Linked DNA regions of Nothobranchius furzeri. The protein of the gene in region 2 interacts with the protein of the main gene of each other region in a pairwise test. Links are inferred from orthologs where the notes say so. Each region holds a gene or a part of one and is shown on either strand. Other genes may lie near its edges.

Region 1 (6,109 bases), on a different chromosome or scaffold from region 2:
CAGAATTATAACAATTTTTTGAAGACTGAAGCCAGAAATCTCTTTTGTTGTTGTCCTTTTTTCAACAAAACAGCACAATTTAGATTCTAATATAAGGTTTTAAAATAAAAAAAAATGAATTTCCTAAAATTGCATGGACATTTCTTTCTATTTAATGTTGATTTGCAGAAGATGAAGGAAAAAAAACAAATAGATCTAAAAATGATTCAGATTCATTTTGTGTGTGTTATGGAAACTTTATATAAATATTCCACGCAAAAAATAAACCCTAAAGCAGCTTACACCTGCATTTTTAACAATTTTTTTTAAACGAGTGAAATTTCTTGTCTTTAATTGTCAAAGTTATTAAGAGCTGTTATGGAAGGTCCAAAGATTCACTTGTGTCTCCAGAGCTGCAGTTTGCAGACCCCTGGCATAGATGGATGAACACAAGAATAATAATATGAAAACCTACCGGTTTGTAGAAGAAGAAGAAAATATATTTTCTATAGCGCCTCTCAAGATAAAAATCACGAGGCGCTTCACAAAAACAAAAAATGTAAAAATATAAAAAAGCATTTAGAAAATGTTTAAAAATATATTTAAAATGAGCAAAAATAGGCAATTGTGATTAAAAAAATGTTAAGAAAGAGAGAAAGTGAACACGAAAGAGGGAAATCAGTGGATCCTGAGGAAGGTGGAATAGGTGGGGAGAACAGAATAGAGAGAGTGGTGAAGAAGGTCATACAAAAGCCATCTTGAACAAGTGAGTCTTCAGCTGCTTTTTAAAGGAGACCATTGAGTCCACTGATCTCAGGCTCAGGGGGAGAGAGTTCCAGAGTCTGGGGGCCACAGCCCCCCAGACTCTGGAACTCCACTTAACTCTGTAATGATTAAGTGGATAAAATGTCTTAATAGCGTCCTAGTCAGAGTCGCGCACCACTGTGTATTTCATACTACGTGGTTTCTGTCACAGATTTAATCCTGCAGGAAATTTAGGGGCTTTTAACATTTAGTCCCTTTAGCATAAATGAACTCTCCAAGACCTTCCCATGCTGTGTTCCTGTGCTGTTAAGGTGCAGAGCTGAATAGAACACAGAAATAGGCCACAGTCTGTATTCCCATGGTGTCTTAAGACAACATGCATTAATCACAGCATACTCACATTAATTCGTAACACATTTTAGTACGTACCAATGTCTGGTGGAAAGATGTTAATTCAGGAACTCTTTGAGCTCAGGAAGGCCTTCGATGGTTGACACATTTTCTGTATGCGATCCCATCGGCCATATTCTTTATGTTTAGTTGGATCATGACGGTAATAAAAGATCCCCTGCTGGCTCAAACCTATCCAGCAGAGTTGAGTCAGCTTTATTAAGCATTTCTTTGTGGTGTACGCGGACATAAAGTGAAACTGAGGGTCTGTCTAAGCTCGGTGTCATATAGTTGGACAGCGCTGCGTACCCTTGCTCATACTTCTCAGCGTTTGAAAGGGGATGTCTGTTGGCCATTTGCTGTAAGTTTTGATTAGAAAAAGATTTGTCTCTCACGCCCACTCCTGTCCACTTGGCCAGCTGTACAAAGATTAAAAAGAAGTCAGGCATTGTATTTCTCATTTTGGCTCTTTTCTGTCTTTTTTGCACTCAGTTATTTGTAATTCATGACTAAGCACCCGTGTCTACTTGTAGATTTAGTGAAATTACATCTCCTTTTTGAGAAAATACCCAGTGAAACCTACATAAGAATGACTTTTCCTCCACTTTTCCCCCTTTTTTGCATTTGGTCTCTAAACAAAGGCGTTTTTATTCTTTGTTACCTATGTTTCCTCTTGGAAGTCTGTGTGTGCAGTTACATGCAGATTTGGTCTGACACTGAAGTATGTAGAGTCAGGAGGAGCAGAGCTGGTTGACTTTTGGGTGACTCATTCTGCCTGTCTTAAAAAAAAGGAGCACCTGTCTTGCTTGTCTGTGCAGGACCCATCAGGTGCAAAAGGGCCGCCGTATAGTGTCATCCCAATACCATCAGATAACCCTCCCATCTCATTTTCTGTCCTCGGGTTGTACAGGTTGTAGCTGGGTTGCTAACTGAAATAAAACGAGCTGTCAAGTGGCTCTCGCCCTCCGAACAATTTATAAAGTTGGTTAGACAGCCACAAAGTACACCTGTACATGCGAGGAGAGGGGTAGACACAGTCAGGACCTGTGTTAACTTGCCAGTAGGAGTGGAGAAGTAAACAGAATCCAGACAGTGGTCACAGTCTTTTTTTTTTTCTTCTTAAAAAAGTATGTGTGATTACAGAAGAAGCAACTCTGTTAAAAATAAATTGCTCTGCTTTTAGTTTGGCGGCTAAATTGTGTCTAGCTTTTGTATCTTGGAGACCAGAAAACATTGGCTTTAGATCTCTGTTTTTGTATTTGATGGTAAGGCAGTTCGATTAGAGATAAAAACCATGATCAGCATTCTTTTGGTTGATGTGTACCGCGAGGAACACGCGTATTTGAATACCTGGCCCTCAAAGACCTGTTACTCTGCCTTAAAAAGTCCACCTCTACTCCCCTTACTAATCTAAATTAGTAGCACTTGTCTGACCTTGCTGAAGATACCTGTCCACTCCGCTGTCAGACTCCACCTACTATCAAGGGCAAGACCCAAGAGCTGTCAAAAGACACCAGAAACAAAATTGTGGACCTTCACAGGGCTACGGGGCGAATGCTAAACAGCTTGGTGAAAACGGATCTGTTGGAGCAATTGTTAGAAAATGGAAGAGGATAAAGGCGGGATATCACTGATAAGAATAGTAAAATCAGCCCCGAACTACATGGGAGGAGCTGGTCTATAACATGAAGAGAGCTGGGACCACAGTTTCTAATGTCTGTTAGTTGAACAGTATGCCATCATGGTTTAAAATCATGCATTGCACAGAAGGTTCCCCTGCTCAAGTCATCACATGTCCAGGCTCGTCTGAAGTTTGCCAGTGACCATCTTGATGATCCAGAGGAGGCATGAGAAAAGTCATGTGGTCAGATGAGACTAAAAAAATAACTTGTTGGAATAAACCCCACTAGCTGTGTTTGGAGGAAAAAGAAGGATGAGTCACAGCCATCCCTACTGTAAAGCACGGAGGTGGAAACATAATGTTTTGAGGGTGCTTTTAAGCCAAGGGGACAAGACGACTGCACTATATTGAGAAGATGAATGGGGCACTTGTGTATTGTGAGATTTTCCGTCCTTCCCTCAGTCAGAGCATTGAAGATAGGTCGTGGCTGGGTCTTCCAACCTGACGATGACACACAGCCAGGATTCCCAAAGAGCGGCTTCAAAAGAAGCGTATCAAGGTTCTGGAGTGGCCCAGCCAGTCTCCATACCAGACCTAAATCCAGTAGAAGATCTTTGGAAGGAGCTAAAACTGTGTTGCTCAGCGACGGCCCAAAACCTGACAGATCTAGAGAAGATCTATGTGGAGGAGTGGGCCACAATCCCTGTAGCAGTGTCTGCAAACCTGGTCAAGACCTACAGGAAACGTTTGACCTCTGCAATGCAAACAAAAGCTTCTGTACCAAATATTAACAATGATTTTCTCAGGTGTTCAAATACTTATGTGCAGCAGTGCAATACAAAAAAACTCTTAAAAACATTCAATGTGATTTCCTGATTTAAAAAAAATATGTTGTCCCTCACAGTGGGAATGTGTCTACAATGTGAATTTCAGACGCCTCTATGGTTTCTTAATAGGTTTGCTATTCAAATACTTATGTTCCTCTGTAAATTGTGACTATTAAAGAAAATGAGTCAGCTGAAACACTGGTGAACGCTACAGTGTGGCTTATCAAAATAAAAGCATCAACATACTCCGCGTGGTAGGGTACACTAGACTATTTTATTTTCCTTGTTCATTTGAATAAAGTTTTCCATCCAAATATTGCATCATTTGAATTCATAACTTTATTTATATAGACTTTGATCATCTATACTCTGATTTGACTGATTATGTAACGCTTGAAACATCCAGAGTTCACATTTTAACGTCAACAGTTTGTGGATATAAATGTTCTCGTCTGATAATATTTTGTCTGTAATTTTCTGTGTCCATCAGGCCACTTGTTTCACAAATTTGGCATTTCGGAGTCGGACTGGTATCGCATCAAACAAAGCATCGACTCAAAGTGTCGCACCGCCTGGAGACGTAAGCAACGTGGCCAGAGTCTGGCAGTCAAGAGCTTCTCCAAGCGCACACCCCGCAGTTCCACTGCAGGTAAAGAGCAGGTGTGGAGTTATGTATGATTAGCTACACTATCACATAGACGGTGATGGCATGTATTGATGTGTTTAAAGGAGAAAGTTGTGAGATCTAATTAAAAAAGCCTTTCTACCTGCTTCATCCACACGTTACAGCTCTACTCGCTTTGAGCGTTCTTAGTTTTAAAAAGGCAGAATATAATTTATGCTTATAAAATCCATTAATCTTGTGCTGTCAGTTTATGCAGTTGGCACAGTCACAGGCAGTGAACTCAAAGTCATCTTATTTTATCAGCTATATGAAAGCTATTATGCAGTCTGACCCTCCAGATATCAAGAAGTCTGGTGCTTCAAATGTTTACTATCCACACACGACGCCCTTCTGCTCCTTTCCTGTGAGTTATCACCTCTCACCTCTGACCAGGGAAGCTTTGCACTGCAGGGGAAACCCAAATATCCTGTGAGGGGGAAACACTTGGGGTAGATTGTCAGGCCTTTCCTTTTCTGACCACGCACGCCCCACAGCGCACAGCGGTAACACTTTATAATAACTACATCTTATTTAGCCTTAATTACACATGAACAAACGTAAGTAACTACTAACAAATAATTAATTAACTAACAATGACTCTTACTTAATAAACAATTAACCAATGCATTAATTAATGCTTTATTTTTAACGATTAGTCCCTTTTAAAAGCTGTTTACTCATTTCTTATTCATATGTAACAAACCATTAACAAAATTCTTTTAAGCAACTGACTAACACATTAATTAATGCTTAACTTCTAATGACTAGTTTCATGTAAAAGCTGTTTATTTATGGCTTATTCATAATTAACAAATCATGAACAGAGTTCTTATTAATCCATTTTTTGGTAACACTTTATAATAACTACATCTTATTTAGCCTTAATTACACATGAACAAACATGTAAGTAACTACTATCAAATAATTAATTAACAATGACTCTTACTTAATAAAAACAAAGCATTAATTAATGCATTGCTTAATTGTTTATTAAGTAAGAGTCATTGTTAATTAATTATTTGTTAGTAGTTACTTACATGCGTGTTCATGTGTAATTAAGACTAAATAAGATGTAGTTATTATAAAGTGTTACCCGCACAGCACAAATGCTTGTTCAGATGCATCCATCAGCATGCAGCACACATGCACAAGACCAAACAGCAATTCTGTCTTTAATCAAATTACGTGTCAAATGAACAGGGAAAAGGCACCTCTTTTTAAAAATCCTAACTAATTTGCATCACTTAGAGTTCAAACAAACTCTTTAGCCTCCGAAAGCCACCTGGCAATTCCTGCTTCATCTGGTGATTGGAAGTACGGAGAATTATTTATATAATACAGTACACAGCGGTGTCAGTGACAGATGGAAGACAGCTTTGTTTTGTAAAGTTGTGTATGTGATGCGTTATCGCAGATTAGTTTAATGTAAACAAAACTGGATTCTTTTGTCATGCTGGAAGGATACTGGCTGCTTTCACGAGCAGCGTTGATTTATTTTCTCCTTAATCGCCTTTTTGTTTTTTTTGTTGTTCTTTGTGAACTCCTTGTCCTCGCCAGCAGATGAAAACATGAACGAGGAACCTGCACACATTGAGACGGCTACCCAGCAGACTTTGCATTACACACTGGCCAATCAGCAGGTTCAGTTCCACCGCATTGGTGAAGATGGACAAGTTCAGGTGGTGAGCGACGTTTTAGTTTTCTGTTTCTCTGGTAAACAAAACAGGCTTTCTTGACCTTTATGTTGCTCTACGAGTCACTAAAATGACTCGTATTTCTGTTATTATTTGGCATGAATTTTCCCCCCAGTGCCTGTAATTCTGAGTAATTTTTTATCTTCGTCTCAGATTCCACAGGGACAGC
Region 2 (6,109 bases):
CTCTCAGCGCCGACCCTCAGCGCTCTGCCGCGCGATGCCTTCACAGACAGGAATGTGGCTGTGAGCTTCTGGAATCACTGATGAGAAACATATGGAAAACCGTCAGTCAGACTCCAGCTCACGTGAATGGAATTCCTCCCCATAGAAGGAATCTCGTTTTCCGCTCCTCTCCGTCTGGTTCTGAGGTCACATTCCACAAATGCCACCGAGAAGCTGCTTGGATCCGGACCTGCTCCGAGGCCTGCGGCCGACCCGGGGAGCCTCTGCCAGGAAGTCTCAAGCATGGATCTGAGCCTGAACCCTGTAGTGGGGGTCAAGGGAGGTGAGCTGGGCTCAGGAAGGACATTCCCAACATTCCTCTTGTCTTTGAGGTTTGGTAGAGTAAACGAGACGGATCAGGAGGTGTGGAAAGCCTGATAAGCGCTGACGGGAAGAGGAGAAGGCTAACGGGGTCATATTAAACGTTTGGGCTTATTTATCATGGAAGAACTTTCCAAACGGCGTTTTGGTGCGGGAGTTTAGGGCGGGGGTGGCGTTGGTACCCGAATCCCTCAGCGCTGTTCTCTCTGCAGCTCCGAGTTCCCGTTGGCGAACGGGATTCCTGCGTCGGGTACGGTGAAACGAGGAGGGGCGTGTCCAAAAAGATCAGCCTCACATGCTGCGGGGTCGCTCGGGGACGAGGAATGAGCCGAGCGGTGGGAGAGTCTGACGGGCTGTTTCTGTTCTCTGCTGTGATTGGACAGGTGGTGGTCCCGACCAGAGCGGGACAGTCCTACGCCTTCGGCCCCGGACAGCACAACCAGCAGGACCTGTACGACGTGCCGCCCAGCAGGTCTCAGGGGGTAGGTGTCCCCTCCTGATGCGTTCTCCACCTGATCAGGAGGAGGAGGTCCTGTTGTGACCCCGGTGTTCTGACCCAAACCCGCAGCCAGAGAAAATCTGTAGTTCCCTCCTGAACTCCAGGCTTGGCTCAAAAACCTGGAAACTCAGCCTTTAGGCATCAGATGACTTTTATTATTTATTCCTAAATATTCCATCTTTTTGCTGTTTGAAGCTGCTGAACTCTGTTTTTAATCCTTTTCTAAAAGCATCTCTTCTGTTTCAGACGTACGACGTTCCGCCAGGTCACATGTTCCTGAGTCAGCCGGGCGGAGCCAGGAACCAGGGAGTCTACGACGTTCCCCCGTCTCAAGTGGAGCCCAGAACACAAGGCGTTTACGACGTGCCCCCGTCCTCGCAGGGGGTAAGAGCGCAGCCCCCGAGCCTTTTACTGTCGGTAGTAAATGAGTCGGTGACGTTTATGAGATTCCTGCGGCTCCTCTGAGCGAGCGCCTCGGCAGCCAGTAGAGTTCCCAGAGCTGTGGCTTTGTGTTTAAACTTCATCTGTCAAAAGGTTTCTATTTCCAGAAGCTCTTAGATTTCATCAGAACCGCCGAGGCGGTTTGTTAGTAATAACATGAAACACGCTCAGACCCGCTCTTACTCCTAATTACAGCTGGCTGCTCCCGTCTCGCTGTTCCAGATGGAAATCACTTACAGCCCACAGCCTAATTCCCCCCGCTGAGCTCCCAGGATGCTTTGAGGCAGAGCGGTCGGGTTGCAGCAGGGTCAGAGCTTCGCCACAGTCGGGAACGTTTTAAACGCGTCGCTTTTTCCCGAGTAGCCGGGAAGCTGCTGCTGCTCAAGCTAAATCCAGGCTGGAAAACTGGGAAGTGGTGTGGGAGCTCTGCGGGACCATCCGTAAGTCTGGAGCAGACTCGGATGACTTCAGGATAAAATCCTGAAATCCCGTTCCGTGCCCGTTTGAGGTTCGGGAAGGAGATCGGACCGGCAGAGTCTGTTTCCTGTTGATCAGAATCTCTAATCATCTTGTTGTCCACAGATCTACGCGGTGCCCAGCTGCAGGACCAACGCAGCCCTCCAGGAGGGGAACTACGACTTCCCACAGCCCCTCAAACACAAACAGGAAGGGATCTATGACGTCCCGCCCCCTTCCCTCACCAAGCCCACCCCCAACCATCAGTCTCCTTACGATTTCCCCCCCAGCCTCGGGCCTGCCGCCCTCCGCCAAAACCCGAACCCCGACCGGAGCGAAGGCATTTACGATGTTCCTCCGACGGCTCTCCTTTCGGTTCTGGACCCCCAGCAGGACGTTTACGACTTCCCCCGGGGCGTGCCGGCCCCCCAGCTCAAAAACTCTGCCACTGACGGAAGCAAGGGAATCTACGACGTTCCAGTCCAGGAAGCTCGCGCGGTAGCGGACGTGACAGACAACGTGAACCGCCTGTCCTTTTCCAGCACCGGCAGCACGCGCAGCAGCATGTCCACGTCCTCGTCTTCAGCCGGGTCCAGCTCCGAGGGACGCCTGGTTCTGGACGTGGACGCTGCTGTGCAGAAGTTGTACCGCCTGCAGCAGGCGCTGGACCTCTCTGTCGGGGCGCTGCATTCAATGACAGCTTCCCCTCACTGGAGGACATTCCCGTTCATGGAGCGCCAGGCCAACGACGTCCGTGCGGTGCTGGATCGGGTCCGGGCCACCGTGGTGGACTTTACTACATTCTGCAGAGGAGCCGCGGCCAACGCCACGTCTCTGTCGGACTCCAGCCTGCACAGTAAGCTCCGACGGCAGCTGGGACGCCTGGAGGACTCTCAGCAGATCCTCCTGCAGACCTATCACGCTCTGGAGATTTCCAGCTGGGCTCAGAAGGCCCTGGCCTCATCCCGACCGCACCACCACAAGAGCGACGACCTGGACCGCTTCGTCATGGTGTCCAGGACAGTTCCAGACGATGCCAAGCAGCTGACTTCCACCATATCTGGGAACGCTGAGCTGCTGTTCCGACGGACGCACGCGGACGGGTCGCTCTCTAGCGGAAGCACGCCTGAGGAGAACGACAACTACGGCGGCCGGACCAAGGCCTTCCCCGCCCCCCCGGGCCAGGACAAAGACAGCATGAACAACAGTGAGAAGTGTGTGAAGAGCTGGATGGAGGACTACGATTACGTCCACCTGCAGGTCAGAACCTTTTACGGGTTTAACCGTTTAACTGTAGAGTTTTAGGTAAACGGGTCAAACAGAAAACACCACCTCTGATAACCTAAAGTGTAAAGTATAAGCGCCTTGCTCCGCAGCCGTGGGACCGGCTCATCTCATCCTGTTCCCGTTTCTTCCCAGGGGAAAGAAGACTTTGAGCGTCAGCAGAAGGAGCTGCTGGAGAAGGAAAACATCATCAAGCAGAACCCGGCTCAGCTGGGCCAGGAGCAGGTGAGACGGGAGAACTGGGTGTGGATAAGGAGGAAGGTTTAAGAGAATCAGAACCTGGGAGATGTTTGGGACGGGCTTTAGTTCTGGTTCTGGTGGAGAATAACCAGACCTCTGGTTGCTTCACAGATCAATCAGTTCAAGAAGCTGGAGCAGGAAGTGATCCAACCCGTGGAGAACGACATCCCCCAGTGGATCAGCGCGTCTCCGTCGGACCCGTCCTCCGTCCACGTCTTCTCTCGGGACCGCCAGCTGCTCGCCTTCTATTCGGCCCAGTGCGAGCAGCACTTCGTCACCCTCCTCAGCGCCGTGGACGCCTTCTTCGGCTGCGTCAGCGCCGGCCAGCCGCCCCGCATCTTCGTCGCCCACAGCAAGTTTGTCATCCTCAGCGCCCACAAGCTGGTCTTCATCGGGGACACGCTGTCCCGGCAGGCCGCCGCCCCCGAGCTGGCCAACAGGGTCATGAACTCCAGCAACGTTCTGTGTGACCTGCTGAAGACGGTGGTCACCGCCACCAAAACGGCCGCTCTGCACTACCCCAACACGGCCGCCATCCAGGAGATGGTGGACCGGGTCACGGACCTGTCGCACCACGCGCGGCAGTTCAAGGAGCAGCTGCTGCAGATGGCCTCGTCGTGATGTTCCTCCTGGCTGCGTGTGTAAATATCAGCTGTTTCCTGTAGATAGTTTTGTATTATGGTCTGTAGGTGCAGTCGTGGTGTCTCCGTAGAACTTTGTGGACTTTTCAGAACATTCCTGTTGTGTCTGAAGCACCTTATGAGCTGTAGATGTTGTTGTTTGTGGAGCTCGTCTCAGAGTAAACAACTAATCTGAACACGGGTCAGACTCGTCTTACTGACACAAGTTTTCAAACTACCAACCTTTCCTGAAAAGCAACCGGAGCCCGTTTGGCCCGGCTCTGTTCAGAACCCCTCGGCCGTTTAGATTTTCCTTCCATAAACAAGATTTTTGAACACCAGTTTCTGTCTGGGCCTGACTGGGTCGATCAGAACCGAGCCTTTAGAACCTGCAGCAGGTTTTCAGGAACCATCAGACTCTGTGGTTTTGTCTGAACGGGGGTTGAGTAAGTGAAGTGGACCGGTACCAAGGGCTCAGCAGACAGGTAGTAGCTCAGAACCAGAACCCAAGGTTCTGCCGAGTCATTTCCTCCTCTCGCCACAGACTGGTTCTGGAATTACAGCTCAGTTCCTCCAGAAGCTGCAGATGGAAACGCAGCGGTCCGGATGTGAGGGACGCGTGGCTTCGCCGGTACCACAACAGCCGGGCCTCGGCCCGCTTTGAGGTGGCTTCCATCCGGGCCTGCACGTGTGTCCAAGGCGAGACGGATGAAAGCAGGAGACTCTGAAGTTTCATCCAAACGCATCGACAACGATTCGCTATATAAAAATATTTCACTGGTCTCCTCCCGGTCCTGGTACCGGCAGGTTCTGGTACCAGCACATAAAACACTTCATTTATTTTTCTAAAGGTTTCAGCACCATAATTCCTGAAGTGTTCATTTTACAGAGCAGCTAAAACATAAAGAGTGATAAACAAACCAAATGTAAAAACTAAAAGATCCGCAGAGTTTGAATCTAGACTTTAAAATCTGCAGGTAGAGAAAAGTTGAGTCCAATAAAGACCAAAAAAACACGAAGGACGTGTTTGGATGAACAAAGGTAAGCATTATACTACCTAAATATTACCTTAGTAGTATTACTTTTACATTACTGTTGTTAAACATATCAGAACTGGTATTTCCCCAAAGGAACTAGAAAACTGCAAACAGGAAGTGTTTTCTCTGCGGCTGTGAAAGGCATTAGTCAAAAGCTGAACAGAAACATTAATAAATGAATTTTTCCATTTTTACATTAAAATAAACTTTTATATTGATGAAAGGTTTTAGCTTACCCTACAAACAAAGCCTGTCTTGTTTTCATCTCTGACCTTTGACCTGAAGTCAGGCCGTTTTCTGTCAGTGCGTTGCTGCCCCCTGCTGGTGGCTCTGGGAAAGACAAGATTACAGATTTAAATCCACCAAACATTCAGTAAAAACGGCCCAGACAAAAGTATTTCCCTAAGTGAAAAGATTCATAAAGATTAATTAAACACCCTAATATATAATAAAATATATTTTCAAATGAGATAAAGCAGGTTCCTCTGGGTCTCAGGATGCATTTTATTCACATTTATTTTTGTTGTTGGGCAAATTTTTATTTATTTTGATGTACAAATATAAATGGTAATGAAAAACGCATGCAGACAGTTTAACTTTTTTTTACTTTTATGTCTTAAATAATACATTTCTTAAAATAGTTTTATAGGAATAATAAATACATTTAAATATACTTTTAAATATATGTGAATTAGAAATGATCCAAAGTGACCAGCAGATGTTTTTTTCCACATTTATCTTTTTTTTTTACTTTAAAGCACAAAATCAAAATTCTTATTTTATTTTCAAGGCCTGCTGCTTTGTTTAGTGTGTGTGTGTGTGTGTGTGTGTGTGTGTGTGTGTACTTCAAAACTCTTAGAAGAATTTAGGTTAAGTTCACACAAATTGAAGCTTTTCAACACTATTTATTAGAAATTTTTTTAAAACCCTCTGCTGGTCTCACTTTTGGCCATTTCTTTACGCCTATATAGAATGTTAGCGTGATCTCGAAGGTGTGGCGTGAGAGCCTGTGAAGAGGGTAAAGTGCAATTGTAAGTCGCTTTGGACAAAAGTGTCTGCTAAATACATAAACATAAACATAAAGTGCGTGTTTCTCACGCTCATTGCGTGAGAATTGGCAGCCCTGAGTCCATCTGAGGAAAATTCTAGCTCCGCACCTGGCAGTTTGAGCG
Region 3 (6,109 bases), on a different chromosome or scaffold from region 2:
AACTCTGCATTAGGACCGAGTTTTGGTCCTAACAAGGACCATCGGTCATAAGAAGGTTAGTAAATATCCCAAATCCAGTCTTCACAAGGGTACAAATACAAGCCCCCCAAACCACCCCCCACCCCCACCCCACACACACACACACACACACACATACACACAAGTGAACAGCTGTTACCTTGATGACTTTGTGCTCTACCACCGAGTCCAACCACTCGATGAACGACTCAACTGTGGCGTTTTTCCTCAGCAGCTCCTTCAGTTCCTGAAAGACAGTGACAGAATCATCTGGAAAAAAAGACAGAAAATGACATCAGGAAAATAATTTAATTTGGAAGAAAACACTATAAATAAGTACTTTTGTGGGATGCTCTCAGGACATTGTTATATCAACCTTCAGATCTTTTTACAGTCAAAAATCACTGAGAAAATGAATGATATTCATAATAAAACAAAACTTGAATGGGATGATAATTTCAGAAAACATGAAACAGCACCAAACAACATTTTGCTATAGACAATCATTAAAATAAATTTGTTAAAAAAAGAAATACATTTACAAATTTTGAACAAAAAATATTTTTAAATGTTAAATGTTAGCATCACACCATTTCAGGAATCCAATATTCGAACACAAATGTGGTTTCATGCTAAATAAAAATCACAAAGTGACAAGAGGAAAAATGTATTACTGAAAAAAAAGGAGTTTTGGTTATTTTCAAAAACAAGGTTTAAAAAATGACTCAATCAATTTTTTGCCGTTTTGTGATTTTGTTCTGGTTTGAAAACTTACTCAACTTTAAATTTAATCTTGAAGACACTTCCAGCATAAATCACACGTGGCTTTAAAAATCTGGGTGTCCAGTCGTGGTCCCGGAGGGCCACTATCCAGCATGTTTTTGAGGTTTCTCTGCTCTAACACACCTGATATTAATTATTCAGATTGTTGACAGGCTTCTGCAGAGCTTGATGAACTGCTGAACAGGTGACTGAACCATTCAATCAAGTGTAGCAGGGAAACAACTAAAACATGCTGGGTAGTGGATCTCTCGGACCAGGATTGGAGACCACTGCTTTAAAGACTTGAATATTAAATAATAATACAAATCAAATATAGTTTTTAAAACTGATAATGAAAATCTAACATGTACAGGATTAAATATGGCAGCTGAGTGGCCTAGTGGTAGAGTGTCCGCCCTGAGACTAGGGGATCATGGGTTCAAGTCTTAAAAAATGGGACTCAATGCCTCCCTGCTTGACATTCAGCACTAAGGGGTTGGATTGGGGGGGGGGGGGGGGGGGGGGTTAAACCACCAACTAGTTCCCAAGCACGGCCACAGCTGCAGCTCACCACTCCCCCAAGGAATGGGTCCAAAAATGTCACCAGTGTGTGACGGCTAACGGGAATTGAGCTTTCTGATGAAGGTACTAATACTGATATTCAGGATGCTGAATACAACCAATAACAAATAAAACAGACAAAAACTGCTAAAAATGTTAAGTTTTTAACAATCGCAACAGCCTGTGGGGCAGGGGGACCCTTAAATATTTTATTTCTTTGACATATTTTTATCATTCAATAGAAGAGAAAGTGAAACCATTGAAGGATTTAAATGCTTGGCATGTGACAGCATTATTCTCAGTAAACATGAAAATGAGTTCATTCTTACACTCGGAGTAAATATCAGACTCCTGGCCTCCAGCGGCCGATACGCTGAGCAGAGGCTGTGAGGTGATGCTGTTCAGATCCACCTTGTCGATATCCATCACCATGCTGGTCACCACGGTCTGGTCGAACAGCGCCGGGCGTGCTATCTGAAACCACGCAGAGGTCAAGACTGACTCTGAGATCTGACGCCACACCGTCATGTTTGTTACCTGAGCCAGGTGCAAGAAGGAAGTCTGTCTCTTCAGGGAGGAAACAAAGCCACGTGCAATAGGGAGCTTCTTAGCTGCAAGGCTTTCTGGGAGGTTTTCCAGGGAAGAGGCTAACCAGTGCTCCCAGTGTTTGGCAAAGTTTCTAATATCTGCTAACAGACTGATAAACAACATCACCGAACTTAGTAATCCTCTGATTTCATCTCATTTATCACTGAAGCATGAAATCAGCTTGAATTTGTATTTTAAAGAAATAGAAAAGCGAACCTGTCGGGCATCTCTTGCATCGTGGCGGGAATCAAAACATCTGTTAAAACCTGAAAAATAAGCACACAGATTATTCATTAATTACAAAAGAAAGTACCAATGTTTAAATGTAAGATTTAACATAGTTTTTGAAAGCTTAAAAAAAACTGTAAGACTTTAAGACTCTGCCGAAACCCTGCAGTCCCTCGTTTAATGAATTAGCACAAAACATTTGAACACACATGTAAAAGTAATTTCTGCCCAACCTTGTAGAGAATGGAGTCACAGACGCAGAAGATGTCGACGATAACCGGGTTTTCAAGCAGCGGCAGCAGGTGGTCGGGCATCCCCTGCCAGAAATGGAGCAGAAAATTCTGGATCTGAAGACAAAACAGCTGAATTAAAAAAGTTTAAATAGTACATAAAATACTGCTACTAGATGCAAATAGCCACCTCTTCAAAGCTGACATTAATAGCGTTGTCCAGGATGCACTGGCAGTGTGTTTTATACATCATGATCAGTGTGTCCACCTGTGAGGAATAAAAAAAGGCGGCTACAATCCTGACACCCAGAGTTTTTGTTTGTCAACAGAAAACAATTCAAAGGTTACATTAACGTGATGATATTTGATCAGGAACCTTTTCTCTGGAGATGTTTCCCTGCAGTAGGAGATGCTGGGCGTTTGGGAAGTCTGGGAGTAATGTTCCTGTTTTAGAGCTCAGGGAGTATTTCCTCGTGAAGCCGCCCTGCAGAACGCAACAGGCAGCAGACATATTTGGTTTGCTCTGAACCCAAACTGCCGCCCAGAACCCAATCACCGGCTGAGCCCTGGGATCCCACATCCCCTAAAGTTGACACATTTGAAGCTCAAGTAAAACCTGTTTAATTTAGGGGGACTGGAAAATAAAAATTTTAAAAACTGTTCATTTCTAAGAAAGAAAATTAATAAAGTTATATCCTTTTGGTATACACTTACTAAATATTCAAAAACAATCCGTGTTCTTTAACGTCTATTAGAACCTACTAATCTGAAATACAGATGTGGACAAAACTGTTGGTGCCCTTCAGTCAATGAAGGAAGAGCCCACAATGGTCACAGGAACTGGAGCAGTTTGCTCAGAAGGAGTGGGCCAAAATACCTGCTGAGAGGTGCAGAAGTGTCATTGGCAGTTACAGGAATCATTTGATTGCCTCAAAAGGTTGTGCAGCACTATATTAACTTAGGGGTGCCATCATTTTTGTCCAGGCCCATTCCATGACCTTACGGTATTTTTTTAATAATTCTGTTGAAGCGTGGTTGAAAAGCAATGTCTGACTTTCATTGGTTAAATTTCATAGAATTTTTATTTATTATTTTTGTCAGATTCAAGCTATTTCTGTGACCATTGTGGGTTTTTCTTTTATTGACTGAGGGGTACCAACAATTCTGTCCACGTCTAGTTAGGGGAAGTTTTAACAAATTCTAAAGAGAAAATAAACACCAGGAATGAGGAAGTAATTTGATGTCCTGTGCACACTTTAGGTCCTGACTTGTAGAAGTCAGAAATGTTTCTGGCTTTTGATATATTTGTATATGGTTTTGGAAAAAGGCCAAACGTAAGACTTTTCTTTTAAAAAGTATTTCAGTGAGTTCAATTTAAAGGATTTATCTTTAATCCCACTCTGTAAGTAACAAAGATATTTGAATTCAGATTAGATGAGCAGAAAGATGCTAAAAACGTCCTAAAAACTGTAAAACCTGGATTGTACACTAAAACTAATAAAGCTGAGAGCTTAAAACTAATTTAAGTCTTATATTAAATAATAAAATGTGAAATTGAGGGATAATTACCTCATTCTTCAGCTTACTTCCTGAAAATCTACAACAGAAACAAAGAAGACTTCAAATTAAAGACTTATATTGAGGAGAAAAGCTTCAGCTCTAAATGATCTAGTCTTACAATACCTGGTCAACCCTTTACCAGAATACACAGAGTGGTAATAAGCACTGCTCTCTTTGATGCCAATTCCATAATAATGATATCTGTGAAATAAGGTGTGGAATAAAGATCAGACTGTAAATAAATAAATCTTGCTTAATTTTATTGTAATATTTCTACTTGGAGTGTCCTCTGGTGCCGAGTCGTCTTGTTGTTAAAAGAGGAAACTTCTGCCGGATTGTCTGATGAGGACAGCAGGGATAAAGTTTCAGTAATAGTGACAGCTTAATTATATGTATCAATAAAGGTTTACAGTTTGAATCATAATAAACAGAAAGCACCTTTCCAAAGGTAGCAGCACAGGCCGGCTCTAGATTCTCTTTCCCACAGAAGTCCAGGTAGTGAGCATAGAGAATGCACCGCGGGAGACACACTCCTTCACACACGATGTAGTTCTCCTCAAGCCTGTTCACACACACACACACACACACACACACACACACACACACACACACACACACACACACACACACACACACACACACACACACTCAACCCTAACCCTACAGCAGGTTCATACCAACAGCCTGAAGCTGGGGCTCTCACCACTGCAGCGTGAGCTGGGTTTGTTTCTTCTTGTCCTTGATGATCTGACTGATGGTCTTTCTAGAGGAACCGACGCTCTCTTTGATGTTCAGGTCTGAGTTTAGTTCCACAAGATCAGAGTCCTCCTCAGACGATGGTGTCTCATTGCTGTCTTCTGCTTGTGATCATCATAAAACAACACAGAATTAGTCTGCCATGTTTTAAAGTATTAAGCATTCAAATTTTATTAATTCTAGGAGTTCACTGCAATTAAACTCGTGAAAACTTTTCTATTTAAAGCACAAACCTAGTTTTTATTAAAAAAATGGTCATTTGTACTTTTGACGAAGATGAAGAAATATTTGAATGTCTTTACCGGGAAGGAATTAATAAAAATTTAGTTGGATGTTTTTCTTTCTTTCATTTCTGTTTTGGGTTTTATTGAGTTTGATAAAAACTTCTCTAAACAGGGTTGGAATTGAAAACATGACACACTGAAGCCTAAACAACAACAATCTGCTTCTTGTTGTAAAATCTTTGTGTGAATCGTCACTTAAATCAGTTCATTTCTGAGTCTGATTAAATGTCTGTGGAGATTAAATAGACATTTCTCATCTAATGGAGTATTTGATCTGTAATTCTCTCATTTATTTCCAATTTCTTGAGAAATCTTCAAGGTTATTCTGCAAATGTTGCAGCCTTTATTTTCCTCTAAATGCTGACTGATTAGTTTTTTTATCTGACCTTGAAAACACAATTTGTGTCTTTATTTATCCCTCAGCTTAGATTGCTTACTGTCAAGAGTAAACAATAAATGAATTTTGTAACGTCAAAAAGAATCAATACACTAACTATTATGCTATCTGAGGACGTTTACTGTAACTCCATAGTGACTTTTCATTGAGATTGTTGTTAATTCTTTGTTTATATAAAGTTCATTTTACAAAAGATTAAGTCTTCTTGCAAACAAAAAGAACTGATAAATAACAAACATGAATATTTCTAATGTTATAATTATAAGCGTGGAAAGAAAACTATTACTGAAACATTATTAGAGTAATGAAAAGCTGACAAATTTAATTAAATCAACTAGTTTTCAGGCTTAAACTGACGAGATATTTAATAAACAAACTGTTTAACACTTTAACTGACTGGTAGAGGATATTTTAGTCCTCATATATTACTGATTTATTAACTATTTAATTTAAAAAAATCCAAATATGGAGCTCTTTGAATAAAAATTAATTATATTATATTAGTACTTTTATATCATTATGAATTTACACTATTTTTTAACACTTGTTGACCTATTTTTGACAACAGTGGAAAAAAACTAAAACTGGCGAATGAGTTTGCAAACAAACCCACATGTCTGAACTTTCTCTTCTCTTATTTCTTGCTTTATTTCTTCATTATCATTTATTACTTAAAAGGCCTTTTAAACTGTTTGAATGATTAAACTACAAACATCAAGGTAAAC

Evidence for each region. The genes of interacting proteins can lie anywhere in the genome.
Region 1: the proteins of nedd9 (region 2) and banp interact in binary tests that used the Homo sapiens proteins (3 or more experiments, as listed by UniProt). The two-hybrid records come from large-scale screens. The link is inferred for Nothobranchius furzeri from reciprocal best matches to the Homo sapiens genes NEDD9 and BANP.
Region 3: the proteins of nedd9 (region 2) and rfx6 interact in binary tests that used the Homo sapiens proteins (3 or more experiments, as listed by UniProt). The two-hybrid records come from large-scale screens. The link is inferred for Nothobranchius furzeri from reciprocal best matches to the Homo sapiens genes NEDD9 and RFX6.

What each region holds. Positions count from the first base shown.
Region 1 is NC_091744.1:74,155,552-74,161,660, reverse strand, and holds part of banp (protein BANP), read left to right. Parts: intron 1-4,072; coding exon 4,073-4,231; intron 4,232-5,803; coding exon 5,804-5,928; intron 5,929-6,093; coding exon 6,094-6,109. UniProt on the Homo sapiens protein: Controls V(D)J recombination during T-cell development by repressing T-cell receptor (TCR) beta enhancer function. Binds to scaffold/matrix attachment region beta (S/MARbeta), an ATC-rich DNA sequence located upstream of the TCR beta enhancer.
Region 2 is NC_091759.1:25,491,092-25,497,200, forward strand, and holds part of nedd9 (enhancer of filamentation 1), read left to right. Parts: intron 1-743; coding exon 744-842; intron 843-1,105; coding exon 1,106-1,243; intron 1,244-1,882; coding exon 1,883-3,016; intron 3,017-3,175; coding exon 3,176-3,265; intron 3,266-3,391; coding exon 3,392-3,901; 3' UTR 3,902-6,109. UniProt on the Homo sapiens protein: Scaffolding protein which plays a central coordinating role for tyrosine-kinase-based signaling related to cell adhesion. As a focal adhesion protein, plays a role in embryonic fibroblast migration.
Region 3 is NC_091742.1:9,789,656-9,795,764, forward strand, and holds part of rfx6 (DNA-binding protein RFX6), read right to left. Parts: intron 4,805-6,109; coding exon 4,651-4,804; intron 4,510-4,650; coding exon 4,386-4,509; intron 4,287-4,385; coding exon 4,225-4,286; intron 4,149-4,224; coding exon 4,071-4,148; intron 3,985-4,070; coding exon 3,957-3,984; intron 2,872-3,956; coding exon 2,764-2,871; intron 2,656-2,763; coding exon 2,578-2,655; intron 2,505-2,577; coding exon 2,391-2,504; intron 2,196-2,390; coding exon 2,146-2,195; intron 2,039-2,145; coding exon 1,879-2,038; intron 1,816-1,878; coding exon 1,671-1,815; intron 289-1,670; coding exon 179-288; intron 1-178. UniProt on the Homo sapiens protein: Transcription factor required to direct islet cell differentiation during endocrine pancreas development. Specifically required for the differentiation of 4 of the 5 islet cell types and for the production of insulin.